3 linked regions of the Drosophila melanogaster genome follow. The protein of the gene in region 2 purifies or fractionates together with the protein of the main gene of each other region. This does not show direct contact. Each region holds a gene or a part of one and is shown on either strand. Other genes may lie near its edges. The genes, in order: Tti1, lqfR and spag.

Region 1 (10,184 bases), about 13 Mb from region 2:
CTTCGAACGGGCCATTGCTGTGGATAAGCCCGAGAAGACGCTCTCAGAGATGTACAGCGACATGGAAAACATAAGTAAGTGGCTTATATTTACTCTATATAGACGTAGAGATTTACTTGCTTTTGCCAACGTATTGCAGCTATTGAGGATGACTACAAGGGTCCGCAGCTGGAAGACGGCAAGGTGACTCTAAAGTTCATGAAGGAATTGATGGAGCATTACAAGGCACAGAAGCGATTGCACCGCAAATTTGCCTACAAAGTATGCGTGTAACCCCCAAGCCCAGCAGACCTTTGAATACTTATACAATTTGTTTCAGATACTCTGCGAGATCGACACGTATATGCGAGCTCAGCCCTCGCTGGTGGATATCACTGTGCCGGATGAGGAGAAGTTCACGATTTGTGGCGACATTCACGGTCAATTCTACGACTTGATGAACATATTCGAGATCAATGGTCTGCCCTCTGAAAAGAATCCCTACCTGTTCAACGGCGATTTCGTTGACAGGGGTTCCTTCTCTGTGGAGTGTATATTTACGCTGTTTGGTTTCAAGCTGTTGTATCCTAATCACTTCTTCTTGGCGCGCGGTTAGTTTTTTTTTCTGTTCAGATGTAGAGATGTTATTTATAACATGCTTCAAACATATTCCAGGCAACCATGAAAGCATTAACATGAACCAAATGTATGGATTCACTGGCGAGGTGACAGCGAAGTACACCAGCGCCATGGCTGACATATTCACGCAAGTTTTCAACTGGCTGCCGTTGTGCCACTGCATCAACCAAAAGATCCTGGTCATGCACGGCGGGCTCTTCTCCACGGAAGACGTGACTCTGGACCATATAAGACGCATCGAACGAAATTGCCAGCCGCCCGAGGAAGGTCTTATGTGCGAGTTGCTGTGGTCCGATCCTCAGCAGTGGATGGGTCTCGGTCAGTCGAAGCGAGGCGTGGGCATCCAGTTTGGTCCGGATGTTACCGAGAAATTCTGCAAAGACAACAACCTGGACTACATCATTCGAAGCCACGAGGTTAAGGATATGGGCTATGAAGTGGCTCACAACGGTAAATGCATAACAGTCTTCTCTGCTCCGAACTATTGGTAAGCCTACACATTTGATCCTTAAACTTTAGGTAATCTTTTACCTTTTTTTGCAGTGATACTATGGGCAACATGGGCGCATTTATTACCATTACGGGTAACAATTTGAAACCAAATTACAAATCATTCGAGGCTGTGGTAAGTACTAAAAAACAACTTTATTCGGGTCAATTCATTAGCGTAATCTTTTCAGCCACATCCCGACGTCAAGCCCATGGCCTATGCCAACAGCCTAATGAACTGGCTGGCGTAGTCAGTTTCGCATTAACTTCAATAGCTAAAACATACTCCCACACAACACATACCAATTTACAAACAGCTTGAGAACTTACAATCGCAAGACAGCCCAGCTTACAATGATCAAAGGAGAGGAAAAGGATTCGAAGATGCTCAATAGACTTATGCACACCGCGAGCTGCTTCACTACTTAAGTACGAGTATGGCGAGTCCATAAGGCGTAGGACGAGTGGAGGACGGGGAAAGGATCAAGATCACAAATACAGAACAGCAATCATTTTATAAATTCAGCTATATTTGATACAGAACGAAATGTTATAGTGTATTGTGGCTTTAGAAGTCGGATGCTAAGTTTTATCGGTGCCAAGCATCTGGGGTTCCACTTGTAAGTAAAAATTGAAAGAAAATGTTTGTTTATGCATAGCATTTAGTTATGGCTACCAAAACATAATATACGATTACATATATACAATTTTTCATCAATTTTGTTTGTTCCGAACGCTTTATTTGTGTATAAAACCCCAGTTTTGTTCAAAAACCTTGCCTTGTTTATATTTTATAAAAGTCATTTCAATAAAACTATTCAAGTTAGATACCTCAATAATAATCCCATACATTTTTTTAATCCAATAACTATTGCCTACTCTCCGGGCACAAACAAAACAGTTCTGATCAAAATATTCGAAACTGCATTAAAAGACACCTAGCTTAAGAGCCTGTAATGTTAATCGAGTGAACAGAAATCAGAATAGAGCAATTGTGAAATAAAAAATCGGTCCGTTCTTTATTAACCAAGATCTCGTCCACTAGCTATGCTAAAGCCCATGACCTCGAAGATCTGGTTAACATTAGCCTGATAATCCTGAAGATGGGCCCGCTGCAACAGCGTAACGTATACGAAGGGTCCATTGTAAGAAATAAGCTGGAGGAAGAACGCTCTGGCCGGCGTCTGTAGCTCTTGCGGCTGTATTTGTGATAGGTATATTACCACCGTGCTCATGATCTCGTGCAGATGTCTTCCCTCTATCTGAAGACCGAGTATAAAGTCCGCGAGGCTCTTCAGCAGCTTAAGCTGCAGTTTGTACTCCTGAGTCTGCGCTTGCGAGGTCTCCGTGCTGCTGTGCAGGGATGCTGTCTTCAGGAACTGCTTTAACTGGGGTATCACATCACTGAAAAGCACAAGGATAGGGTAAAAAGATCTAGTTATCCTCGAAACAGTGACTTACCTAAGGCTGCGTTTAAGTATAAAGTCCTTGGCATGAACGCCTAGCAAGTGCAGCAGGGTGAAGCATCGGTTTAGCACCAATGCGTCCTTTTGGCGGAATTTTTCGATCAGAGGTTGCCACACTAGATGCACTAATGGCAGCAGCTCGTCCTCGTAGTCCGCCAGTAATGGCAGACCACTGGAGAAACATTCCAAAGCTGCAATCTGCTGCCCCTGATCGGCGGTGGAAATGAACTTGATTACTTGACCTAGTATATCCTTAACCATTTCCACGTGGCGCGGAAGCACGGGCTTCGTGGGTTTCTCTTCCGTGTCATCCGCATCGTCGGCTTCATCCTTTGCCGGCTCCTCGGCGTCGCCCATGTTGGTGTCGCCATTCAGATCTTTCAATAACTTTGGCCTCTCCAGCACACTCATCCACGTGCTTAGGACATTCTGCTCCTCATCCACTTGCATCGGCAGCTCGGTATCAACCTCCGCCGCAGCATCATCATGCCAATCGGAAACATGATTCAGGAATGATTTGAAGACGCGAAGATAAGAGTGCACGTTGGTTGTCTGGTGTGATTTGGAGCACTCTTCGCGTATAGTTTGGAATAAGCTGTCCAGGTGGGGCACATTGCCGCGTGTGCTGTACTGCAACACGACGGTGAGGATGTCCACGGCGGCCGTGCTATCTGGCGATCGTTTTAGCAACGCGTTTAGGTGAAAAGTGATGTAGTCGGTGGAGCATTCGATAAAATGTGAGGGCTCCGCATATTTAAGAGCGTACTGCATGGAAACGAAGGCGAAACTGGCCGCTTGATGGACGATAGTGTTACTGCTAGCCACCTTGAGAAGCACTTTGTGTAGACTTAAAAATATATGCCTGTCGAAGGTATCACCAATAAATCTGGCACAGTGACCCACTGCATCCAAAATTAGGCAGGTGTGCAGAACATTAAACTGGGCGTCTGCAATGGTCACCCGACTACCGACCACCTCCGTCTGCTCGTCATCAGAATCGCAGTCCTGGGTGCGTACCTCAATCGCCGATGAATAGATGCCAGGAGTACGGTCCTCAAACCAATGCGTGGGCTAAAAAAAATTATAGTACACATTGTACACATATAAAATCCATTCTCACCTTGTTGACCTTAAGGCGCCACGCCGAGTCCGGCTGAAGGGCCAGGTTCCAATGCTCGTCTCGAAGGATCTGGTCCAAGAAAAGTTTAGCCAGCACCAGTCGACTTCCCCGCGCCTTCTTCTCCTGCGGCGTTACCATCAGTGTTAGAAGCAGCACACACTCGTTCATGGATGGTGACCTTTGCTGAATCATCTCCTGACAGTAATCAAATACAAGTCGATTTATTGTTGGCTCAGTACCCAACAGGGCTCCAATGTCATATAGGATATCAACTGTACGCCTTGAGCTTAGATACTTGAACTGCCTCCAAGGCAGTTTGGCCAGTTCGGCGGCCAGACCTTTGGAATCACCTTCTCGAATACGTCGAAGTGAGTATTCCTCGTTGAGAAGGTCCCTGGTTGGCCGTTGATCTAGTGCTGTCAACAGACAAGTGACGAACATCTCCAGATTTTTGGGAACTAGCAGCAATAGCTGCAATTTATCGGTGTTGACGTTGCGTAGGAATCCTTTGAAGAACAGAAGCTCGGCAAACTGTTCGTTGTCCTCGCAGCGATGCAGTATGCGTGGCCATTTATTGAGGTGTGCATCTAGCAGCATCTCCGCATTCTCATCGAATATGTCTTGGCTGCTGGCCTGTTGTTGCAGCAGAAGTAGGGTGTCCCTGCACCGCTGGGCTATCTTCTCATTCTCGTCCTCTGACAGAGCCAATACGCTCTCTAGTACATGGAGAAAGTTTCCCCTCAGATTGTAAGCACAATGTTTTAGCAACAGGCAACACATATCGGAGTAGGATTCCCTTACCCGTATTGCGCTGTGAGTCCGTAGAATACTCATTTCGGCAAATATTGGTCGAAGGTGCCTCGAAGTGGCGGCCACCCACTGATGCGAACGAAGCTCCGTTTGCATTTGATGCAATCGCTCCTCATTCTGTTCTGTAGTAGCCTTCTTGCTGGCAAAAAAGGTGAAATCGCATTGATGAGCCTCTTCGTTGTTTTTGAACAGTTTGCGGAAGGCATCTCCATCGTAGCGCATTTTTATAAACTCATTAGTGGTCTCCTCAAACATTATGCAAATAATGCGTCCCAGCGCTTGAATTGCCATCTAATTATAATATTTAAATCAATATAAATGAAGTTATACAAAACCATCGAAAAACTCACCGATTTTATAGTCTCTCCCACCTTGTCATCTTTCATTGATGTTTTGAACAGCACGATGAGTACCTTGGGAAGGAATATAAATATGGTATTGGCTACCTGACTACGCAGGACAACATCCACTTGATCGGATTCGTCATGGACATAGAAAACCATCATCAGACACTGAATGGCTGTCTGTACGAGTTTTCGATACTTTTCCTGTTCGATGATTTCCAAGAGCATGATCAGTATCTGGCCAATAACCATCGCAGTCTCCTTAACGTAGAAAGATTCCACCACATCAGTGGTGGAGCGACGAAGTGCCTCGAATATACACTGAACGGCTGCCAGTTTGATTTCCTCGGAAAGGTTTGGTCGCATGGACGCTGTCTTGGAGTCGCGTACCTGTTGCAGCACCACCACCAGGATGGAACGCAGACCCTTCTCATCGGCCAGGTATGTTTTGGAGACAATGTTGCTTAAGCAGTTCATCAGGCTGGTGCGAAGTTCCTGGTTTTCTCTGCGGAAGAGACAGTCTTCTCTGAAGTCGAAAACCCAAGCGGAGCGGAGCCACTTACCCGGTTAGCTCATCCAGTTTGACCACCAGTGGCACCACCGTTTGCACCTGGTAAATGCGCATTTCTCCAAAGTTGAATCCCTCGATTGCGCGCTCCACCACCGACAACGTGTCCTTGCTGGGCTCCTTGATGAAGCCTTCCACCGCTGGCTTTATCTTCGTCACATACCACTCTAGATGCATCATCGTGGCAGCAGTATTCACTAACCAAATAAACCCAAAGCGAAACCCGGCAAAATCCGGGAAGAAGTTTTGAACCAACAGCTGTTCCGACAGTCACATGCAAACGCGCGCGTTTTCACCCCCGCCACCCACAATCGCTATCGAAGTCTATCGGTTATTTTGAATTGCGCGCCAAGCCGCCCTTAATTTTGATTTTCTTTTATTTAAAGCACCAGTATTGACTAATATATTTCGAAGTTTCAGGATTTTGGTAAACTCGGGATTGGCTTTGTTAAATACTACAAGTTTACATATTCAGATTGTATTTGAAATTAATCATCTAGCTATAGAACTCATGCTGAGCTTCGTCCTTGCGCACGCTGGTCTTATAACCCTTTTCGAAGTCCTTGGCATTGACCACATAGCGATTCTCGCGCACTGCATGCATACCAGCCTCTTGGCAAATGGCATTGATATCCGCATTGGAGATCTTGTCCGGACGTGCAATGATGTCCTCCAGATCCACATCCTCACCCACATTCATTTTCGAGGTGATTGTGGTGAAAACTAAGCGCTTCTGGCGACGATCCGGCAATGGTAACTCAATTTTCCGATCCAAACGGCCGGGTCGTAACAGAGCCGGATCTAAGGTATCTGCACGATTGGTGGCCATGATAACCTTAATGTTGGTGGTCTCATCAAAGCCATCCATTTGGTTGAGTAGCTCCAGCAGGATGCGCTGCACCTCGCGATCAGCACCTGTCTGTGCATCAAAGCGCTTGGTGGCAATCGCATCGATCTCATCAATGAAGATAATTGAAGGAGAATTCTGCTTGGCCAGGCGGAAAAGATCTCGCACCATGCGTGGCCCCTCGCCTAGGTATTTCTGGACGAACTCGGAGCCCACGACACGAATAAATGATGCAGTTGTATGATGGGCCACCGCCTTGGCCAGCATGGTTTTGCCACATCCAGGTGGTCCAAAAAGGAGGACGCCGCGTGGGGGATCGATGCCTGGAAGAGAATTAGTGGAAATAGTCTTTTGATATTGCGAATACCCACCAATTTGCTTGTAAAGCTGGGCGTGGGTCAAGGGCAGCTCGACAGCCTCGCGTATCTCCTGTTTCTGGATGTCCAAGCCTCCAATGTCGGAGTAGCTGATATCCGGTTTCTCATCCGGCGATAGCATCGATATGGTGCTGTCCGCCTCCGGTGGCACCAGATCGACCAGACAATTGCTTTGCTTGTGCAGCCCAACCGAAGAGGACGGCTTCAGTTGCTCCCTGTCAATGGTGGATAGCACTCGAACATAGTAATTGGATCCGGTGGTGGAGGCCACTATGCCGTTGTTTTCATCCACCGCCTCCAGAAACTGGCCAATGACCAGAGGCACGGCTTTTATGCGCTTAACTTCCTCCTGAGCGTGTATGAACTCCTTCTTCAGATTGCGTTGCTCCTCCTTGATATAATCCTCCTGCACCTGGATGAGCTCCAGCTCCATCTGAAGCTTCTTATATAGTACATACAGATCATGCGGATCCAGTCCATCATACTTCTCCAGCGACTGCTCGTGAAACTGGGCAATTTCCTCCTTTAACAAACGCATTTTCGTCTTATCCCTGTGGAGATTCGATTCGAAGTGAAAGGCAATGACACGAATTTTCAAAGGCTAAAGCAGGTTATCGTAAAAAAAATATCGATAACTGTTAACAGGATAAGAATGGCAATACTAAAAAAGCTTCAATACATGAGCGTAACCAGAAACAATTATTTAATACTTATTGAATGCGAAGTTATGATATATTGTATTTTCAAACTATGTTGATTAAGCCCGATCGATATATAAAAATTATACAATTTCTAAAATGATTTTTAACGCTCCTTCGAAACTTTTCGCGTCGCCACGTGAATGGCAATCAGCTGTTGAACCGACCTGTTGTTTTTCTTGGATTTGTTTTTGTTGTGCTTGCTTTTCTGCCTCCGACGTGGAGCGATCTATTTATATATCTATTTTGGTTTATTTTGGAACCACAAATTCTCTTCGGCATAGGAAAAATATATATGCCTAGGCATTGACACTTTTTGTGAGACATTCAAACACTTAGTCAAAGAAAGGTGGCTAGATATCGACATTGTGCAACGCCGGCTTCGATTGGGAAATCTTCGTCAGATACCATCGCGCAGAAATTTATAGATTTTCCAACGGACTAGAATATATAGATATCGGTGTCAAAACAAATATGGCCATTATGTAACGCCCCGATTCCTGTCCAGCACACTTTGCACACCAGCGACACCCGACAGCCAAAACCGCCCGCAACATGGACATCCTAATCTTTGTGACGGCGGCGGCCCATTTGGTCTACACGCCCTTTACGAAAGTGGAGGAGAGCTTCAATCTCCAGGCCATGCACGACATTCTTTATCTGCGAAACAACTTTACGCAGGTGGAGGACAAAGGTTCCCCAAACCTCCTGCCAGATCACTAATATCTTTCTGAATTTCAGTACGATCACCATGACTATCCGGGCGTGGTTCCACGCACCTTCATCGGCCCATTGGTGGTGTCCATTATCTCAGCCCCGTTTGTCCTGCTCTTCGAGACCCTTAGCATCAACAAGTTCTGGGCCCAATATGTAGGTAAAATCAGCATTTCAACTGCCTATTTCGGAGTGTTAATTGATTATGAACCCCTTAGTGCGCCTTGTCTTGGCTGGGGCCATCTCTGTGGCCTGGAACAGCCTACGGCAGGCGGTGACAAAGATTTACGGAGTTGAGGTCCGCCTGTGGTTCACAGCCATCACTATTACGCAGTTCCACTTCATGTTCTACATGACTAGGCCTCTGCCCAATATCTTTGCCCTGCCGATAGGTAAGCCAAGTTGACGGTCTCTGCTATGCTATGTACCCAATATTATTAGACTTTTTCTTGTTGCAGTGCTCTTTGCCATTGCCTATTGGCTACGCGACCAGCACAAGCCATTCATCATCTGCTCTGGTATATCCATTCTCGTCTTTCGATCCGAGTTGGCGTTATTTTTGGGTATTTTGCTGGTGGTGAGCCTCCTACGGCGAAAAGTTTCCATTGACGGGTGAAGATTATCAATCATTGCATACTATTCAATGCTAATATTTGTAAAAATAGGCTACTCAAAGTTGCACTGCCGGCGGGCGTCTGCATTTTGGCTGCCACAGTGCTGGTGGACTCGTTCTTTTGGCGCCGCCTGCTTTGGCCCGAGGGTGAGGTGCTATGGTACAACACCGTACTCAATAAGAGCTCCAACTGGGGTACCTCGCCTTTTCTATGGTACTTTTACTCCGCCCTGCCACGTGCCATGGGTGCATCGCTGGTGCTCGTGCCCATCGGCGTCGCATTGGAGCCACGTATTCGGCCATTGGTCCTGTCGGCTCTCCTCTTTGTCCTTTTGTACTCCATTCTGCCGCACAAGGAGCTGCGCTTCATCATCTACGTGTTTCCAGTTCTCAACATTGCTGCGGCTTGCGCATGCCAACGAATGTAAGCGTCGTATTATTTCATTAGTAAAATGCATTTCTATTATTGGTTTCCTCGTTTAGTTGGATGAACAGCGCCAAGTCAACGTGGCATAGCTTTCTGGCGCTCGCCTGTGGAGCCCATCTCCTGCTAAATGTCTTTATAACGCTCTTCCTGCTTGTCATTTCGGGCACCAACTATCCGGGCGGAGCAGCCCTCTCCCGATTGCATCGCTTGGAAGCTGGCACCTCAAACGTTTCCGTTCACATTTCCAACTTGGCCGCCCAGAGCGGCGTGTCGCGTTTTATGGAAATAAATAATGAATGGACTTACAGCAAGGACGAGACAATGAACTATACCCAGGCGGATTTGGTTGCATACACACATCTTTTGGTCGAGGCGAAGAACAAGCAAAACACTGAACTATGGGCATCGCTCCAAAACGAATTCGATACGCTAGAGTTTATTGACTGCTTCAACAGCATCGGCATTCAATACAATTCTCTGCTGCCGGTGCGAATAAAGACGAAGCCTTGCATTGGTATACTTAAAAAGAGACCAGTGGCTCCAAAAGAGGCATCAAAAACAAAAGAGAAAATAGCAAAAACTAAGACATACCCGGTGGAAAAAGAAACGTTATTAGCTCCTGTTAAAGAATTTCCAAAAGTGATAGGAGATCCGAAAATGAAATCCAGGTTACAAGTCGATGCGGATGATGATGATGGCATCGTGTCCACTGTGGAGGAAATGTCGCTAGAACTGGAAACGGATACTGAGCCCCATGCTGGGGCAGAGACCATCGAAACGCCCTTGAAGGAGATCAATTTCCAGGAGCTGAGAACCCTCGCCTTGGGACAGGCAACCAAGAAGTCGAGAGCAGCCACCAAGATGAAGATTCGACAAATTATCGAGCAGCACTACCGCGCCAAGGGCAAACAAATCGAAAACGACTCCGCAGAGACCCAAAAAACGCAAGGAAAGGCTGGATTACGGCAATCCGTAAAGTCCATCATAAAGCAGGAGAAGATCAAGGAAATGATCGAGCAGATCGCTACGATGGATCTGACACGCATCTGCGATTTGGAAAGGACTTCGACCAAAGATTGCTTAAAACAGGTCA
Region 2 (12,072 bases):
AAACGCCAGACAATGCTCTTTTTCGATCTCATAAAGTTCCAAAAGGGCGAGCCCAAACAAAGTAAGTGTTGAACATACGTATATATCTATTTATTGTATTAATCTTTGGGAATTGTGATTTTTAGGGATTCCATCGCGCATGTGCATTGTATGCAAAAAGGTCAAGACCTATGCCGAGTTTGCCATTCGGACACGTCAGAGCCATGTGGACACCTGCAAGCACTGTTACTATCTAAAGGTGGGTTATTCCTTATTCCACATTTTAAATATTATAATCGAAAATATTTTCATACATACACATAGCTAACTGCTACTGAGAACACCGTGTACCAGTCCATTCTACGGTGCATCCATCGAGATGAGCGGAAACGCAAGTGCACCACATCCTTTGCATTTGTAATGCAGCCAGATGATGTTCGCCACATCATAGACAAAATATGGCATGGACATTCGGCTCTAAGCAAGACAGAGAATCTCAGTGAACTAAGGTAACCCCTTCACAATGAAGTGTTTAAAAATCAAACGTCAAATATATCTATTTCAGATTACCGCGTTGGAACAAGAGCGATGACTGGGCACCGTGGAACTGTATTTGCCTGACGGAACGGGAGACGCGAGATCACTACAAGATCGATGACATTGAGAAGGTGTATGATCCCAAGTTCGTTCTGCACATCGGTAATCTTCACATGCTGGCTCGCAGCCTATTCCACACCTTAGCTGCTGTGGCCACCGAGTTCCAGGAAACGGGCCAATGGTGGAAAGTGGGCATGAACAAGCAACGTTCCAGTAAACTGGATGCCGTCTAAACTATGTGGTTAAAATGACTCCCAGTAACTCACCTTTCGAAATTTGGGTTTAGCTTGTAATTCAGCGCCTAATTTAACATTTACAAAATTTTAACAATTCAAATATTGATCAATCATTACAAGAAAAATTAAATAAACTATAACTGCAATTATTTGCTACTTGCAATCGCCTTGAACTTTGACTCCAAATACTGAACGCGTTTCAGTAGTTTGTCACTGGTGCTGAACTCATTATAGGGCACGGGAATAACGTGGTAACCACTCTTCTCTAGCAGATCAAATGTCAGATTCGTAACGCCGCTGCCACTGCGATGCGTTCCGTGGCAAATGTCATGGAAATCGATGACCATCAGCGCCACCCTGAAATCAAGTTTCATTCATTATAATCAAGTTAATTTATAAAACGTGTAATAACTTGCCTTATTGCATTCGGATTTTCCTTGTCCAAAGGCAGGGGGTTTTTGTTAGCATCAAAATGGCACAGTGCATCTGAAACGACAGTTAATCAGGAATATGGTACACATTAACAAGGAATATCTTACCTATAAGGAAGCCCATTTTAGTGTCTACAGCAGTTTGTAAATGATTGCTGGCCGGCAGCAGACTTTTCAGGGCATCTAGCATTCCATTTACAAGCACTTGCTTTGCTTTAGGATGAGCCATGGGCACCTGATAGACAGGACTGTCAGTGGGCAATAGTGGACCCTTGTAATCTGTGGCTATTAACTGGGCATAGCTATTCAAGTTGAGTAGCCTCATTTTGGAGGTAGCTGTGACACCAGCTTTGTCCTTTTTCAACGTCTCTAGGAAGTCCGCACTGAAAGTAATTACAAATTTAAGTTTTAATTCCAGATTTTCAAGCGTTTCAAAGAACAAACCTCAAAACAGAAGCCAAGTGGCCGTGTTCTACTAGACCCAACATTGTTAGCGACCACACAAAGCTCAACCACTCGGATTGCTTGGTAAAATCCTCGCGGACAATAGACTTTACTAGCTTTTTGCTCACTTCCTCCAATTGAGCGCTTTTGAAGTTTAGCAGGGCCGATGTTAGGAAATAGGCACTGAGATCTTGGGGGCGACAGATTTCACTATTCTTTAAAAGCCACTGCGTAAGTGATTCCAAGATATCTACCGAAAAAAATAAATTACATTAATCACAACTTTTTCTGATGTGTTTATATCCGAGCTAACCCAAATCCCGGTATCGTAAAATGCCCAGGCTGGTGATAATGGATCCCACAACGGCAGACTTCTCCACATTCTTAGGCAGCGCCGATTGCACATCCGCACACACTTTAGCGCCTAGAACAGAATCCTGGAAATTCAACGTGGACATAGCGAACAGCACATCCCCCGCTTGCTTTAAATCCAGCGATTCCGACGCGCTGCTGATATTAAAGGCCAGGGAGCGCAAGAGAGGAGTACTACGCCTCTTCCGCTGGGCCAGGGTGCTCATCACCTTGACCATCTGGGGCAGACTGATGCTAGCTATCAGCTTAGCGGCCTCATCGTCACCAGCTACGCCAAGCACCGTGTTTAGGTCATCTGTTCGGAAGCCGGAAATCCGCTTGGCCGTCCCATTGTCACCAAGGTCCTTGTTGTTAGCATTATTATTTTTGGGAACCGTCCGGCCCAACATCCGGCAAATACGTAGGAACCTTGTGTCGTTCTCGAATTCCGAGATCTTTACTCGATTCAAGGTGCTCCACTCGGCCAGTATGGAGACAATTCTGAGGGCATGCTTCCTCGAGAAGCCATTGTTGTTCTCCGTGATAGTTAGCAGTCCATTGACTGTCTTTGCGTTGATGATACGCTCATCGATCTTGCTGGAGGCTTGGCTTTTGCTCTCATCTTTGGGATCGTCGTTTCTAAGGGATTCGAAAGCAGCGGCTACCATGTGGCCTGCAATAAGGATGGAGTGAATACCAATTAGTAAGGAGGACAACAATTTTAGAATCTACCTACCCCTGGGCTTTTTGGCCGCCTCCTCCACAGCCGGCGCGCGTGCTTCCGGCTCCACTGCATCCGATTGTGCTCCAGTGGGCGCCACGGGAATGCCCGCTGCCCGGACACTGCTGCTGAAGGCTGCACGGCGGTACAACTGGGTGACAAAACTGCCGGCAAAACGTTGTAGTCCCAACATTTTCAGTCAATCCACACGCTGCAAGAGACCACAGAAGTTTACATAACCTTTTTGTTTACATTTTTAGCGGCCAGGAAGGGGCTTTACAAAGCATGCCAATGATATAGGCTTATATTCATGACTTGAACCGTCTTATTTCCCCTGATATCCTTCACGTTTCATTTAGTATTTTCATTTATTTTAGTAAACTTTCCTATTGAACGTTGAGAATCCACAGATGACAGCAGCGTTCAGCTGATGGTAGTGTAGGGTAAGACCCGTCGGCTCCATGCAAAGCTTTTGTAACACTGCGAGCTGTGCTGCCAACTCAGCATTTTCTAGCTAGATCTGGCGTTTTTTATTCCGGAACTTAGGTGTCATTGCATGTGCTTTCGGTTATTTGGTAAATGCTTCCAATTTTATTACTATGCCGATTTCTCTTTGTGCTTTATTAATAAGAAAACTAATGTTTTATTGAACTATTTCGGTTATTGGTAAATGGTTCCCATTTTATAACTATGCCGATTTCTCTTTGTGCTTTATTAATAAGAAAACTAATATTTTATTGAACTATTTGGAGCACAAATTTAAAAAGCTAATTTTCATTAATAACGGCTACAGCTATTTATCGGATTTAGCTACACTTGAACAGTGAGAGTTGGAAACACTGTTTGCAACACTGGACACGACAGCTCACCAAATATTAGCTGCTGTGATTTTGTTTTACAATTTTCGTTTAAATTTTTACATTTTTGTTTGCGGAAAGCGCGGGTGCGAGACAGGTGCGCCGTTTCCATGCAAAAGTGCAAATCGTCAGCTGCAAAACAGTCAGAAAACGGCACGCCAAGCGAAAACGAGTTCGACGTCTTGTTGTAGTTGGATTTTCCAGCCACTTTTCGACGAGATTGTGTGAAAAATTCCGTAGCATTCAATAGTCTCAAAATGGTGGATAAATTCATCAGCATGTGGAAAGTGCGCGAATTGGCGGACAAGGTGTAAGTGATCAGGAATATATAGGATATATCCATACGTATATGTAATGGGATGTGTGTATAACATTCCCTTAACGCCGAAGTGAATGTTAAGACTCCCACGCCCCAAGTTTTCTGATTTCCCGCCACGCCCCCAACTCCTCAAGGATTTCAAAAGCCCTATGTCATGCATAAATCCCTAATAATTCATAAAGATATCTTACTTATGGATCAACTGCATCGGGGTGCTGGATTAGGTTCACGTTTTTAACTGCTTTCAAGGTTGTTCGCCATTTCAAGAGAGCTTTACCAACACAGCCACATTCCGATATTGATATCCATGTGTATATGCGCCTGTGTGTGTGGGGCTTTATCAAGAAACAATTTGTTTGCTTTCGACTGCCCAAATATAACAATTTTTTCACCTGTGTTAACAGCTCCACTTCCAGGCTTTCCAGTGAAATGGGTGTTTCTCTTTCCCCCATCGAATTATTAATTATGGGTGTCCCCTTTCACCTGCGCCTTTTATGGGGTAGTTATTTCTAAAAGCGAGCCTATAGTTCGAATAAATAATGGTGGCTCGATAGCCAACACCGAACTCATTAGGTTAAGTGCGCGGGTACACCTTTCCTAGGGCTTATCTCGAACTGATAAGGAACACCTAGATGGCCCATTTGCGACAATTGGCCCACTTCCATCACGTTTCGAACGTCTATCAACGTCGCAGCCAAGCCATGCGTATTACTTATTTATCTGCATCTTTGCATTGTATATCCATATCGTCACACAACGTTTACTTAAAAATACCAGTTCTGATTAACTGGCCCTCTATCTATTTGATTATCTATTCAATTGAGTTTACGGAATGTCCCAGTCAATATGCCTTTTTTCTTTACTTAAGTATATATCAATTATTTAAGGAAACAAGCTCGGATTAAGATTTGTATTTACATATGTACAAAAGTTCTACGACTAACATCGTGAATAGTTAATAGTTACTTTAAAATAAAACAATGACTTCGTTCCCACTTGCAGCACCAATGTCGTGATGAATTACACGGAAACGGAGGGCAAGGTGCGGGAGGCCACCAACGATGATCCTTGGGGGCCTACAGGACCCCTCATGCAGGAATTGGCCTATTCCACCTTCTCATACGAAACATTCCCGGAGGTGATGTCCATGCTGTGGAAGCGCATGCTGCAGGACAATAAAACCAACTGGCGACGCACGTACAAGGTAACGTTTTCAGTTTAAACTAATAAATATAGAGCTAACGAGTATATATTTACTTACAGAGCCTCCTTCTGCTAAACTATTTGGTGCGAAACGGCTCTGAACGGGTGGTAACCTCCTCTCGGGAGCACATCTACGATCTGCGCTCGCTGGAGAACTATACATTCACCGACGAGGGCGGCAAGGATCAGGGTATTAATGTTAGGCATAAGGTACGAGAGCTTATAGACTTTATTCAGGATGATGATCGTTTGCGCGAGGAGCGCAAAAAGGCGAAGAAGAACAAGGACAAGTACATCGGCATGAGCAGCGACGCCATGGGCATGCGAAGCGGTGGCTACAGCGGCTATAGCGGTGGATCTGGAGGAGGCGGCGGTGGCAGCGGTGGCTACAATGATGGCGACTATCGCTCTAGTCGTGGAGACAATTGGTGTAAGTAAGAAATTTTTATTTTTTTAAGATTTTTGTTCAAATTCTCTATATGTAATATTAATATTGATGATTTTTCTTCAGACTCCGACAAAAGCGCCGACAAGGATCGGTATGAGGATGATGATACTCACTACGATGGAGAGCGAGAGGGATCCGATAGCGACTCACCCAGTCCAAGGCAAGTTTTCACTTTTCCGATTAACCTGCTCTATATCCTAATGTACTCTTTTCTCCTCACAGACGTAACTATCGATACAATGACCGTGCGAGTCCTGCCGAAGTAGCCAGCGAGGCCAAACCTTCCAGCCTCAACATGAACATTCGTTCGAAGACCGTCAGTTCCCCTGTCTCCAAGCAGCCCACTTCAACGGCTTCTGCCAAGCCAGCGCTGTCCCAGAAGAAGATCGATCTGGGTGCGGCAGCAAACTTTGGAAAGCCAGCTCCTGGCGGTGCTGCTGGCATTCACTCACCAACTCACCGTGACACTCCCACCAGCGTGGACTTGATGGGCGGCGCTTCGCCATCGCCGTCTACTTCCAAGGCAAACAATAATACGCAAAGCAATAACAACGATCTGCTGGACGATCTGTTCAAGACCTGCTCGCCACCGCCGGGGCAGGAGAAGACGCTGAACAGTGCTGCCGTGATTGTGGATGACGATGATGACTTCAATCCGCGTGCCAGCGATGCTAGCCAGCAGGAATTCGGCGACTTCGCCTCTGCTTTCGGGCAGCCCTCGGCGGGATCGACGATCAGCGAGCCACCATCAACGGGCCTGGTTCCGGCTGCGAACGATGAGTTCGCCGACTTTGCGGCGTTCCAAGGCTCGACAACGTCGACATCTGCGCTGGACGGTAATTTGCTGAAGACTGCCACGCCGGCGAACGATTCGTTTGACCTGTTTAATTCAGCTCCCACCTCGACGGCAGCAGCCACAACGGCTACAGATCTCCTGGCAGGCCTGGGCGATCTGTCCATTCACCAAAGCATGCCCATGGGTGAGTTGTAGTTTGATTCTTGTAGCTTAACATATTATTAAATTTGAAATAGTTTTAAGATTAGAGTAATTGCATTGGCCTTAGTCACTTCATGATATATTTAGGTATCGCTGCATGAAGGTGCGCCTTCCGAGCTTGACTAGAGCCGTTATCTCTACCTCGAGCTCCACAGCCCACACAAAGATACACTATCTCATCCTCCCACATATAAACGGCAACATTTTCCAATCGGATGCACTCGTTCTCTTCTCGTTCTCTCTCGTAGCTGTTGAAGAGCAGTTGGCATCCAGTAATGATTCGATGTCGTCGGCTTCCCCACAGCCACCATCTGAGGCAATGCGTCTAGCTTTTTCCAAGGCACAGAAGCAGCTGCGCGATTTAATGCAGGTCCAGAGCGCTTCAGCCGTTGCCCAAGTAGCAGCTATTTTGGGGGAACTGCATAACTCAAACGCACTGCCCGGATTTACCACACCTGAGCAGTTGGTTGGCCTCGATCGTCAGACGTGCGACTGGACCTGTCTTGCCCATGGAGAGTATGCCGCATTGCTGAATCAATTGACAGAGCTATTCAGCCAGGATTGGCCAGAGCCATCGCAGGATGTTGAAGTCGTTAACATTTTTAAACTGGATCACAGCTTTGATTATGTATCGGTTGCCTTTGAGTCGCTTCAGACTAGATTGGATAAGTTTCCCAGTACTATTAGTTCCTTACTGGAAAACATGGTTAAGGATGAGAGCCTAATTTCTATCGCCTTGCTGCACATCTCCCGCCAGAGAGCTTCCTTAATGCAGCGCTTTGCGCGGACCATCAAAGTTATGCCGGAAAGAAAAGTGGAGGAGCTGGATGCCCAGGTGAAAGCGTTCTTTCAATTGCTAATCAGTCTGCCAGCCCAGGTGGCCAATCGACTGGGTAGAAGACTGCCAGAGACGTTTGCTCCAGTTTCTTATCAGAAACTCCTGCTGCGCCAGTGGCTGAAATCCTTGCACTTTGTCCTACAGTGCGATGATAATAGGGAATACTTTGATTTGGAACCGTACTCCTGGCTTTTGTCACAGGCTATTAACCTTATTTACGATGTTTCAACTTTGGAAAGCCTCCTACGAGTACTTAAGGACTACGCGGTGGCTCCCAGAGGAAGAAAAGTAGTTCATACCATATTAAAAGAATTGGATCCCGCTGCTTGCCTAAAAACAGCACAATCGGCTCTTTCTGCGGGATTGAACCTGTACGTTCTTATAGGTGCTGCCACTTTGGAGACACCTCATTGGAAGCATTGCCTGCTCCAGAAGTTGCCTCTTCAACGCACACCCGTGGATAATAAGCAGCTTATAACATTGGCCAGTTATCTTAACGCCGTAGCTCCTGCTCAACTGCAGGTTCTTTTGAATCAGTTGCTTGGAATCTGGTCGAAGCGCATTTCCTTGCAGAAACTGGGCAGCCAAGAGCACTTGGCTATATCCAAATTGCTTGTGTTGGCGGCAAAATGCCTTTGTGGGAATCTTGTAATGGATTTGAACATCCAGCGTCAGCTCCACGATGGACTCAGCAACCATTTGCAGTCCCCAGATGCACTGCAGCGTCATGTGGGAATGAAGACCGTGGAGCTAATTTTCAATTTTATTGCCTTGCCTGATGCGAAGGAGGATGATCGTCTACGATTTGAGTACGATTCATTTAAGGATACATTTCATTGGCACATCTTCGAAGAGTTTGATGAACTTGGCCAGTTTGAAAGCCCGAGCAAAACTAAGCTAGATGAGAAGCCTTGTGAGGATCAGCTGAAACAATTAGAACTTCATCTCAGTGACTTTATGAGTACTACAGAGCAGAAAGAGCCGCATAAGCCGAATATTGAAATACAAGCGAATCCCGCTCCCGAAAATCAGAATGTAAACATGCAGCTGGACTCGGATGACGACGAGCCACTGGATGAAGACGACGATGAATTGAAACCCTATGACATGTCCAACGATACAACCACCACCATTGATCAACGTCCCAAATTCGTCATCGACTTACTGCACTTGCTCCGAGAAAAGGTGGAGAATTATCAGGTGTTCGAAGGAGCCTTGGGCACAGCGGAGCAACTTATACGGGGTCAGCTGGCCAAACATGATACTCAGTTGGCCTTGGATCTGCTACAACTTTTCTTGGTCATGGAAATGCAGTTCTACTATGAGCAATTCGAACGTACGCAATTTAAGTGTTGCGTGGCCATTTGTGTGGCTCATCCTGGTCCCTGTGCCGAGTACCTATGCCGCCAGTTCCACACGGATAACTCCTTCTATTCGGCCAGTGTCCGTATTCTGATCCTTCAGGTACTGGCAGCAACGGCGAAAGAACTTTCTGGCGATGAAAACATGCAGAATGAGATGGAAATTGTGGATGTTATACCACCGGCAGCCAAGCATCCCCGAAAGTTCGAATTTCAACAGGAGGAGGAGAGTCCGGCCGCTCGTCTGGCCGCTGCGCAAAGGATCATCCGCGACCGGCTGCGGGCCAAGACGAAGAGATATTTCAGCAAGCCCAAAGCTGGAGATCAAATGGAGAAGGCCAACCCATTTCACCCCGTTGCCGGTACATTTTTCTTCAGTTTGGTGAGGGGACAGCGCACCCGTCAGATGCTTTACGTAAAATACGAAAATATTTCTCACGACATCGACACCCAGTTGCTTGTTAACCTGCTAAACACCATGTCCGTGTTGGTTATGTGCTCCCAGAACTGTCCACTGTTGCCAGCGATGACCCGCGAGATCTTTGACCTATGCGCCTTTGTGCGTTTCAATGCCGAGGCCCGCGTCCGAGCGGCCACATTGCAGCTAATAGGAATCGCCTTGGTAACCACACCAGCTCATGTGCTGGCCCAGCACTTTGCGGAGTCATTGAACGAACTGCAGCGCTGGCTGAATGACTTCATAAGATCGCCATTGGTGGGCGGAGAGACTTCGGAGGAGTGTCGTGAACTGGCCCAAAGCATTTTGGACACCTGCTACAAACTCTTTGATACAGCCGCCATGGAACAGGCTGCCTAACTTGGCCATCAAAAAGTTTTGAAAGCAGCCTATAGAGTTTTAAGAGATTTAAAATATTAAAACTGTATTTAAAATACACTAAGCATATTTCTTGTTACGGAAAAACGAACAATTTTTTACTGAAATATTTCCGAATTAATATATGATATATATGATTAAATACAAGATTACTTCATACTTTACATCAATTCTCATACAAACGTTAACGCTGTGTCCTTAAACATTTTCTTATAATTGTATAAACTAATAATAGACTCGAGAGTTAGGTATTTGCTAGAAATAAGACAACAGTTCTAGGAATTATTTTTTAAATATCTATCGCCCTCGAAGCCATTGTATTCCAGGTATACATATATGGATTTACTTCATTTATACTACTTTCTTTTGTTTATTTGTTTTTCTCCTACTGCATATTTGTATTGCAAACCACACACACATTGGATCCAATATTATTTCTCAAATATATACATACATATGTACTTAATAATGATGAATTGAAAAGCATTTCTCAATATTCCGGGCATTGTGCGGCCTCCGCAGCCACGGACTCATTAGGTAAACCAATCCAAAACGGCAATAGCCACATAACAGATACGAACCTATTCTTTCCTTCTGTAATTGCACTTGATTTGCTGCGCAAACGCTTCCGAGTAGTGACCACCTCATTAGCCGATCACCAAGTAGCCGCATTCGCAATTCTATCGAAGCCACATATTTAAAACAGCTTTTTGTGAAACCAAAATAAAAACGAAAACTGAAACCCCGAATAACATTATTATTGCATTTGTTTTTTTCCAGACAATATGATGCCTCCCATTCCCGCCGTCACGGGCAATAATCTGCTCCAGCCCATGTCGGTGACCAATAATAACAATAATACCAACGGAGGCGCAGTCCCCGCCGCTGCCAGTGTCCAGTCTACCGCTGTGGGCGCCACCTGGTCGGGCGACCTGAAGGGCGGCAAGATGAACATTGACCTGGACAATCTGCTGATGAGCAAGTCGGGCAAGCCCAGTGCCCCGGCCCCTTCGATGAATGCCCTGAAGACCAACAGTCCGGCAAAGGCGCCACTGAATGTGCAGACGGGTGGCGGATTCCCTGGACTGTCGCCAATGACCAGTCCGAACATTTTTGGGGCTCCGGCACCGCAGCAAAGCATTCCACAAAACCAATCAGCATTTGCCAACTTTGGAGCTTTCCAGCAGCAGCAGCAGAATCACAGCAATAATAACAATAATAGCTCGTCGGCATTCGACTTGTTTCAATGATATTTTTTAGCCTAATTTAACCCAACCAACCTACTACCCAAAATGTCCACTCTCACATTCACATTTCCACGATCGCTAAACTTGTCAGTTCTATATATTATTTACGTTTTCCTTTCCCCTTGCTGTACAAAGTTTGCGACACGTGCAATTTGTTTCTAAATTCGTTGTTAAACAATTTACCCCCGATGCAATTTTCCGGATCAAACCCATTAATTCCACATCCGTCCTGATCGTCCACTCGGAATTTGAAAGTCGTCATCAAATGCAATACACAGAGTAGTTGAATAATGGTTGTACTAAACGGATTCGTTAGCACAACGCGCGGACGGACGGCTGAGCGATCCAACATTGAAATTGTTAAACAAAATACTACACGTAATAAAATCAAACAATTTTAGCAATAGTTAACGTTACGATGTGTCTGTATATAAATTGAATGTAAAGCAAATATGAAATATAAAACAATTGAAACCAATAATTATGATAGTCTCTTGATTTAAAACGCAAACTCATAAAATTCCGGTGGGAATACCCTCCAAAGTATATGTTTATTATTATTTGAAATGCGATCCATCAGGGGGTCAAAGGAAATACAAAAGAAGCATGTAAGTAAAAGATAATAGTGTGGACTTAAACTAAGTTGAATGTAACAGAGACATTTACGCCTCCACCGCTTCCTTGTTTTTGTTCTTCTTTTTCTTCTTCTTCTTTGGCTCTCCATCATCGTTGCCATTGCCATTTTCCGCCTCGGCGGCTGCTCCGTTTCCATTACTGGCGCCATTCGTCTCGCCCTCGTCTTCAGCCGCTCGCTTCTTCTTTTTCTTCTTTTTCTCGGACTGTACAGTGATTGCCGCCTCTTGACCAGCTGCCTCGATGGCCTCCTTCATTACCTCAATGTTCTTGCGCGGCACATCGCCGGACTCGTAGAACTTGAGGCGATCTTCGACCTGTTGCTTAAGAGTTTCGCCAAACACGCTAGTCGGCTGTTCCAGGAAGCAATCGATACGCGACGCGATGGAGCACTTGTTGGCCAGGAATCGAGAGATGCGACCCTTGTTCTTCAGGCCAGCTCGACCAATGAACGAGGAGTGATAGATAAGACCATACTTGGGCGTATTGGAGCGGGTCTTTAGAGCACGGAAGAGCGCCTTCTCGGCACCCAGGATTTGTACTGTAGATGCTGGGTACTTGGCCAGATTAGTCAA
Region 3 (8,455 bases), on a different chromosome or scaffold from region 2:
TAAACTACATCTGCTAGAACTGCGACCTTAGTTTCGGTTCTATAATTTATGGCTCCTGTCGCTGGCGAACATGAAAACAAAATTTGAATAACATGGTCGGTGGAAAATGGATGTGGAAATGGAAATGCACGGGTTCGCCATCCATGAGCTGCGAAATATACAAAACAAATTAAGCTGCCTTTCATCTAAGAGCCATAAATAATAATGTTTCCTATGCGCCGCCCGACTTTCCTCCGACCGCCCATCCATACATCTAAGCATCCAACCATCCCTCCATCCATCGAAAGTATCTGAACGATTTGTTTTTCTGGCGCTTTGCAGCTGAACGACTTGTATCCGATCGCCCGGCTGACACAGAAAATGGAGGACGCATTGACCGTCTCTGGGAAGCCAGCCGCATGCCCCGTCGACCAGGACTGCCCCTACACCATCGAACTGATCCAGCCGGAGGATGGGGAGGCGGTGATAGCCATGCTCAAGACCTTTTTCTTCAAGGTAAGTGCGCTCCCGCCCATCGTACATTGTATTATAATCAGGGGGCTGCTTGGGAGATTGGTGTGCATATCGTAGGAGCCAATCAAGCCGAACACCTGGCTCCGGAATTTATAACCGCTTGCCGAATAATTTGAATCGAAAGGCGGCGCACAAAGGTGAATTTGAATAGTTTCCAGCGAATTTCAATTAGCTGCGCGTTCGTCTTAATTAGGCTTTAATTCAGATCGAAATTCGCACACTAAACTTGAATTAATGCGTGTTGGCCAATCCCTGGGAATTCCAGCCTCCGCCGGGAGCTTGCCCCGTTTTGGGGCATGTGGAATCTTGTGGAGTCCGTCCAGTATTCGGCTGTCGTGAGATGTCTTGACATGATCCATGTCACGGCTAGCTTTCAGCTGGTCTTGCATCACGACTCTTGGCGATCTGAATCTCAATCTCAATTGGAATCTGAATCCAATGCGCTCGCTTGATCTTGACTGGATCAGGTTCCAGTTCTCGATGGGGCCGGCCAATGAGAATGCTCCCTGCACAGACCCAGACCAATTGGGCACTCAAGACCTATATTTATACATATGTACATTGCATATACATATGTACATATGTATATACTGCATATTGATTAGTATGCATGCCACGCCCGCTGGCCACAGCCGCCCCCCTCCGGCGTTGAGATGTTGATATGCAAATCGAGTTCCGTTCGCCATTCCCCAGCTGCCTCCATAAATTATTGGAAAATCTTTAGCCGATGCAATGCGTGCATAAATCACTTGAATTGCCGATCAATTGCACGATCGTGTCGCCTAATAGCGCCGCCAATTTGTTCGGTCAGCAGATCCCCAGATTGACGAGCAATCGGATCCAAATGGGTGGGCCAGTGCACTGATGTCTGAAATCTAATCCGTTTTCCTATTCCGCACAGGATGAACCGCTGAACACCTTCCTCGACCTTGGCGAGTGCAAGGAGCTGGAGAAGTACTCCCTGAAACCGCTACCCGACAACTGCTCCTACAAGGCGGTCAACAAGAAGGGCGAGATTATCGGTGTGTTCCTAAATGGACTTATGAGGCGTCCGGTAAGTGAACCCATTAAGTATGATATGAATGATGCATGACTTATTGTGCTCCATCTATGCATAGTCCCCCGATGATGTGCCCGAAAAGGCGGCCGACTCCTGTGAACATCCCAAATTCAAGAAGATCCTCTCGCTGATGGACCACGTGGAGGAGCAGTTCAACATCTTCGACGTGTATCCCGACGAGGAGCTCATCCTGGACGGCAAGATCCTGTCGGTGGACACCAACTACCGGGGCCTGGGCATCGCAGGCCGCCTGACGGAGAGGGCGTACGAGTACATGCGGGAGAACGGCATCAATGTGTACCACGTGCTCTGCTCCAGCCACTACTCCGCCCGGGTGATGGAGAAGCTGGGCTTCCACGAGGTGTTCCGCATGCAGTTCGCCGACTACAAGCCTCAGGGAGAGGTGGTCTTCAAGCCGGCGGCCCCGCACGTGGGCATACAGGTGATGGCCAAGGAAGTGGGTCCCGCGAAGGCGGCGCAGACCAAGCTGTAGACGATCTGAGTTCGGATTTTGTACTATCGTATGTGATTCTTTAGTTTGTAGTTCGGTGGCGGGTTCCCAGTAGTGTATCAACGTTCGATTCAGCGTAGTGTAAACAAACAGTACAAGTTACGTATTTATCTAATTTAATCTTCCCGTCGCGACGGTAAACTTAAGTGTTTTGTGTTTAGAACGAGCTCAAAATAAAACCTTGTCTTAATAACATAACCGACTGGACAACAACTTAGCCCCTGCTGGCACGGCGGGAGTTCGACTTCCTGTTCTTGCCGGAGCGCTTGGCCTGGCTCCGTTTGGCCTGGGTCTTCTTGGCGTTCAGTTTCCGGTTGCTCCTGGTCCTGGAACTACGGCTGGTGCTGCTGGCGGTGGTGGTGCCCACACGGATCTTCCTCACAATCGAGTACGTCAAGTTGGACAGGTACACTTTCTTGGGCGTGCTGGACGAGCTGTAGGTGGGACTGGTGGAAGTGGAGGAGGAGTTCTGTGAACTGGAGAAGTCCAGGCAGCAGATCACGAGCACCACGATGCACAGGGTGCCGATTTGAATAGTTGACTTCATGTTGGTAGTAGGATTGCTTTTAATATGCTTCGATGGATGCGGCCGGAGTGCTTAAGTAGTCGCCCTGGTTGTTTGCACAGTTTGCTCAATCGCCTACGAAGGCCGACGAAATTGTTTAATTTTGGCAAAACACACTGGCGCTTAAGCAATCGCTCTTGAGTTTGCTTTGCCTTGAACCAAAACAAAATATTCAAAAATAGCTATATGCTTTCACGTTTAATTTGACCAAAGGAAATGGGGAAATGGGATTACTTAGCCGAAGACTGGTTGAAAGGACTCCGCGACATACGGTCCACCATACGACGCACTTGCTCCTCGTTGCCGTACTTCTGGGCATCGGCCACAACGGCGGCATGATGGGAATTAGCCTCTGCTGAGATTTCGTCCTGGATCTGGCGACTCAGTTTAAAGGACGACCTGTTGGGGATGGTGAAAGTTCAGTGTGACTACTTAAATTCTCTGGTTCATAATCATTAACCTGACGGAGGTGAAGCCAAAGAGTGCCCCGACGAAGCCTAGGGCCATCAGAACCACGGCCACCTGCCAGTTGGAGACCCTCTTCAGACCACGGATGCCATAGTACGGTCCTGGATTGGGATCGTAGTTGGGCCTCACATCCCACGCCTGGCCGGGATTGACCGTCTCGCCAACGGGACTGCGGTCCGAGCGCGATGGCTGCCACAGCAGGCTGTCATCGTAGTCTCTCCTCCGCTCCGGCTTTATCAGGGTCTTGTACGCCTCGGAGATCTGAACAAATCGGGCTGTGCGCTCCGGACACGCAGCATTGCTCTTAACATCTGGGTGGTACTGTGGAAAGGGCAGGGTTTAGGAGGCTCCTTTGGAATCTTGGAGTTACTTACCAATTTGGAGAGCTGGACAAAGGCATTACGGACTTCACGGGTGCTGCAATCATTGCGAATATTCAAAACTTCATAGTGTGTTTCGGGTTTTCTTGGTTTGTCGTTCGAGAAACTGCGCAATAGGCAAACATTTACTTTACATAACAAGTTTTATAGACGTAAAGTCCTTACTTACGCACATATCCAGCTCGAGTTGGAAGGCACAACCTTAGCATTGTGAGCTTTATTAGTATTATTTGTGCTGATCTGTCGGAGAAAGCATAATTTTAAACTAGGACTTTCAAAATAAAATCAAAACACAAAACAGCTGATTTGAGGGCCTTACTCTGGCAATCCTGGCTGGCCAGCTACAAAAATAGAGTTGGCAGCTCTGTTCGATGAAACAGCAACTCAGTTGAACTATCGACAGCGAGCAGTGCTGCCAGACTGTCGGAGCGCTAGCAACAGAAATAACAAACATTTAATATTTCTTTAGCCACTTGACAAGGCAAATCAATATGAGTGCACAGGAAAAAGCCTTCGAACTGCAGCGCCAGGTGCGCCAGAACGCGCGGGAGTACGAGAACTCCGTGAAGGACTTGTACTCCTGGGAGCAAGACATTAAAAACAAGGAGAAAGAGCTCCAGAAGTCGCCGCTTTCTGCCGCCAATAAGGTTAGCTTTAAATTCTTTGGTATTAACAAGTAAAGCTCACACTTTCAATGCAGGATCTGCCAGTGCGCAGTCATGTCCAGACAGACAAGTCGCGGAAGGAGAGCCCATCCTCCTCGGCGGCCAGCTCACCCACGGAGAAACAGGACTTGCCAGTGGATCCTGTGGCCCAGCAGTACAAGAAGGCCAACGACATCAAGGACCGTGGAAACACCTATGTCAAGCAGGGGGAGTACGAGAAGGCCATCGTGGCCTACTCCACTGCCATTGCCGTCTATCCCCACGATCCCATTTACCACATTAACCGGGCACTGTGCTACCTAAAACAGGAGAGGTAGGACTGTTTAGAATGTTCTCGATACTTCTTCCTTACATGCATATTTATCCTTGCAGCTTTGATCAATGCGTGGAGGACTGCGAGGCCGCCATTGCGCTGGATAAGCTCTGCGTGAAAGCTTACTACCGGCGAATGCAGGCCAACGAGTCCCTGGGCAACAACATGGAAGCCCTGAAGGATTGCACCACTGTGCTGGCCATCGAGCCGAAGAACATCGAGGCCAAGAGGAGCCTGGCCAGAATCAACGACCGTCTGCGCAAGATTGGTAAATATAATTTTGATTACCTAGTAAGCATATTTTAAGGCTTTTCATTGGCATCCTTACAGCCACCAAAAGTGGGCCAAACTTTACACCCGATCGTCCTGGCATGATTGAGATCTTGCCAATCGAGAAGCCTGCTTATAAACGCTCCAAGAAGGCAATGCGCAGTGTTCCCGTTGTAGACGTGGTATCTCCTCGTGCTACCATCGATGATAGCAACCAACTACGCATTTCGGATGAGGACATAGATAAGATATTTAATAGTAACTGCGGCATAATCGAAGAGGTCAAAAAAACAAATCCAAAGCCGACGCCAATGCCAGACACATCAGGTCCACCCAAAGCTGAGACCATTGCTAAGACCTCCAAAGAAGTCAAGCCTACCAAACAGACTGCGGTTAAAGTAGCTCCAGCTGTGGAAACCCCCAAAGAAACAGAAACACGCAAGGATACCAAGATTGTGCCTGAATCCGATAATGAGGCCAAGCCAAGTGCACCCAAAAAAACGGCTGTCGAGGTCCCCAAGGTTCAGACTCAAGTTTCTCCACCAAAGACCACAATAGAACGCAGCCCAGAAGTCAATACCGTGCAAACTGAAAAAATTGAACAAGCTTCGAGCAACAACGCAATGTCACCCAGTCCAATAGAGGTAGGTTCGCTTAAGATCAAAGCTGAATTATTATTAAACCAATTCTCTATGATTTAGCGCTTCTTACCGCCCGCACCCACGAGCACAGCACAGTTCCATGTGACCTGGAAGGAGCTGAGTGGTCCGCAGAAGTACCAATACCTAAAGTCCATTGAAGTCCCGAATCTGTGTAAGATCCTGGGAGCAGGCTTCGATTCGGACACGTTTGCCGACCTGCTGCGCACCATCCACGACTTCTTTGTACCAAATAAGGAGCCAAACACAGCAGCTGTCTTGCTGGAGATCAGCAAAAATGACGAATTCACCATTTTGGCCATGCTCATGTCCGCAGAGGAGAAGAAAAGTAGGTGACAAAACTTTTCTTGCATAATTTCGTTTGCATTTCATGTACTTTCCCCTTTTCACAGTGGTTTCGTCTATCCTCAACGCCATCAAGAACTGGCCCAGCAAGAATCCGGCTGTGCTGGACAACCTTTTCAAGGAATACGGAGTAGCCTAAACACCCAATGTTTTATGTTAAAATGTACTTATGTTGCTTCAAATTGTTAGCTCCAAAATCAACTAAAACAACAAAAATGTTTAAAATATAAAGAGGATTTGTAGATAGGATCCCAAAACGTTACACAGAATGCGAATGATTGAATGTGTTTTGTTCAGCGTTTATTAGATACGCTAAGATGCTCACTAGTTACACATGCTGGGAATATCTCAAAGTGACTCATGTTTTTTAGCCTAGTATAAGCCGAAAATTCCATATGCAGAAGACCATTTGAGCAAACAAACCGTTCTTGCCCGACCAGACCATGAATATTGAATAACCAATTGAGTAATACGAATTAGTGTAATTTACATAAATCAGCGCATTAATTCAATCTGCGAAGCCACCTAAAATGGGCCTTCCAGCAAGAACAACAACTCCATTAAGCGACGTTAAGTTGGAAGCGCTGATGATCAGTCGGCTTATCCGATCCGTGCACATATCATTACAGCGAAACCACAGCCAGGAGCACCAGGAGGGGCCCCCAAAGCAGGAGGGGCATCTCGCCGAGAACCGCGCACCACCGAGGCACCCGGGCGGCCCACTAATTGCGTGAGAGCTGGTGCACTAAGCACAGGGGCCGGGTTTTACTTTAGCCCATTGTGCCGCCGCTAGTTATAATTTAATTTACATTTTTCTTAACCAACGCTGGCTGCGATTTATCAATTTCTCGCCGCGAGAGAATTCGCGAGAGCGGCTTCCTCCAGGGTTGCCGCTCCATTTGGCGCCCGGGGAGCTGCAAGTCGAGCTGGATCCGATCTGGATGTACTGCTTTAATGTCTTCACCAGCTAAAAATGTTTCTATAAAATGTTTATATGCTTGTATAGAAAATCAATCATATACGATCATATAATCATATAATCCTGATACGAATGCCACATAATTTTGATACAAGTTCAAGCTATGTGTTTATATTTTCGATAAATCCCGCCCAGCTAGCGTTCCAGCGAGCCGCAAGCTCCAAGCTGCGATCTCCGGGCGCAGTGGCAACCCCCGACAGAGCCGAGCTCCGGAGAGACCGATTCCGAGTCCAAGCGAACGAGGTGGAACGGGAATCGAGCGAGCTTGGGGCTATCGCTCATTCGAGATTTGCTGTCGAACCGACTTGGTGCATTCGCTCCGCGGATCCAATATCGCGGTTAATCGGGGGAATCGAGAGAGGCGGCTAGTTGGCGCGACTTTAGAGTCAGTGCATCGAGTATACGGAGCGTAAAACACCGACTATAACCGACATCGACACAGTGAAGCTACAGATTCGTAAACAATCCCAGTAACGCCGATTCGTGCGAGTGTAAGTGGGTGTGCCAGTGTGAGTGCGACTAATTTAAAGGCGACTTTAGCTAATCCCAGATCTACACTGATCGCAAAACAACCGCATCCCCTCCGCCTCCGCGCAGTGATCCAGTGTCTTAGCCAATGCATTTAAAAGCCATGCTGGTAATTACGCAAATTCTGTGCAGAAAAGCGAGTGAAACATGTGCGATCGAGTGAAGATGAGAGTGAAGTGGCGATTTCACTAGCGTGAAAAGTGCTTGGGCAGCCACTGTGGCGTATACGTAACCCCCTAAACCGGCCAAAATCCGTGCACTACCGCACACATCTCTATAGATCTGTATCTGTAAAGCAAGCAAGACAATGGGGGCCCAGCCTCCTCCCACTGAAAAGCCAAATGGCAGCTCCCCCCGCTTCGTTCGCCGGAGTCGAAAAACAATAAGAATGCGGCACAAACGGGTTTTTATTCTGCATTATTTATCGCTTCTGTTTGCCGTCGCCAAGTGCACGTCTTCATTCCATTAGTTCGATCGTTATGCTCTCGCTAGCCGGAGATTACTCCGATCGGAGTTTGGAGATCTGCGATCTGAGATCTGCTACTATATCTTCGTCTCAGCCTGTGCCAAGCACACAAAACAGCAAAAACTCACGAGAAGATCGGCAAAATAAAGGCAAACAGCTAAAACGTGTCCCATAGCCCAAAAAGACACTCGCGACGAGCCATCGGGCCAAGACATAAACTCAACCGGTTGGTTTGCTTTTCGAGCACCAGCCACAGTAACAGAAAAAAAACACAGAAAAAACAGTAAAAAAAAAAATAAAAACAAAAATCAGTGAGGAAACACACCTCACCTCCCCCATAAGGCCCACGAACCCAAGAGCAGTATGTAAAAATTCAGAAGAAATGAGTCTGGCAAAAACGCGCCGAGATACTTATAAATAACAGTCTAGATGGCCAAGAAGGCGGGTGATTGGGATATAGGGGGATGGGGGGGGCTGTTTAGCATAGTTTATTTTGGCGCTAATGGGCGGGGGAGGAGGGAGCAGAGATCCGGCTAACTGGAATCAAAGCCGAAAAGATGCTAAATATGCGATCAATAACAAATAAGAAATAACAAATGGAATATTCCATGCCATCCCGATCGGGCACCGACTTTCTTTTCTCGCATCCGCCACATTTGCATTCCAAATGAAATCCTACGAGCGCACTCCATTTCCAGTTCGATGATGGGTTTCGGTCTGACCACCGTGCTAC

Evidence for each region.
Region 1: the proteins of lqfR (region 2) and Tti1 purify together in Drosophila melanogaster (affinity purification with western blotting; one study listed by BioGRID). This does not show direct contact.
Region 3: the proteins of lqfR (region 2) and spag purify together in Drosophila melanogaster (affinity purification with western blotting, with the first as the bait; one study listed by BioGRID). This does not show direct contact.

Annotation. Positions count from the first base shown.
Region 1 is NT_033777.3:9,748,987-9,759,170, forward strand, and holds Tti1 (Telo2 interacting protein 1), read right to left. Parts: upstream 5,701-10,184; 5' UTR 5,596-5,700; coding exon 5,411-5,595; intron 5,353-5,410; coding exon 4,854-5,352; intron 4,795-4,853; coding exon 3,694-4,794; intron 3,645-3,693; coding exon 2,569-3,644; intron 2,512-2,568; coding exon 2,130-2,511; 3' UTR 2,102-2,129; downstream 1-2,101. Other genes in the region: PpD3 (protein phosphatase D3), read left to right, coding at 1-74, 140-261, 320-590, 655-1,105, 1,162-1,243, 1,299-1,358; Rpt3R (regulatory particle triple-A ATPase 3-related), read right to left, coding at 5,912-6,585, 6,634-7,177; Alg12 alpha-1,6-mannosyltransferase, read left to right, coding at 7,893-8,018, 8,079-8,211, 8,270-8,443, 8,510-8,663, 8,717-9,088, 9,148-10,184.
Region 2 is NT_033777.3:22,407,712-22,419,783, forward strand, and holds lqfR (liquid facets-Related), read left to right. Parts: upstream 1-3,589; 5' UTR 3,590-3,873; coding exon 3,874-3,926; intron 3,927-4,937; coding exon 4,938-5,139; intron 5,140-5,198; coding exon 5,199-5,568; intron 5,569-5,649; coding exon 5,650-5,746; intron 5,747-5,808; coding exon 5,809-6,566; intron 6,567-6,831; coding exon 6,832-9,599; 3' UTR 9,600-10,091; downstream 10,092-12,072. Other genes in the region: CG13855 (uncharacterized protein), read left to right, coding at 1-61, 126-238, 304-488, 545-809; CG13850 (uncharacterized protein), read right to left, coding at 959-1,169, 1,229-1,298, 1,352-1,626, 1,688-1,937, 2,001-2,711, 2,775-2,952; Nop56, read right to left, coding at 11,527-12,072.
Region 3 is NT_033778.4:24,155,483-24,163,937, forward strand, and holds spag (spaghetti), read left to right. Parts: upstream 1-3,901; 5' UTR 3,902-3,988; coding exon 3,989-4,144; intron 4,145-4,197; coding exon 4,198-4,475; intron 4,476-4,534; coding exon 4,535-4,743; intron 4,744-4,805; coding exon 4,806-5,389; intron 5,390-5,446; coding exon 5,447-5,732; intron 5,733-5,796; coding exon 5,797-5,888; 3' UTR 5,889-6,021; downstream 6,022-8,455. Other genes in the region: speck, read left to right, coding at 322-495, 1,415-1,567, 1,632-2,066; CG42568 (uncharacterized protein), read right to left, coding at 2,299-2,631; DnaJ-60 (DnaJ-like-60), read right to left, coding at 2,880-3,048, 3,110-3,438, 3,492-3,603, 3,663-3,706.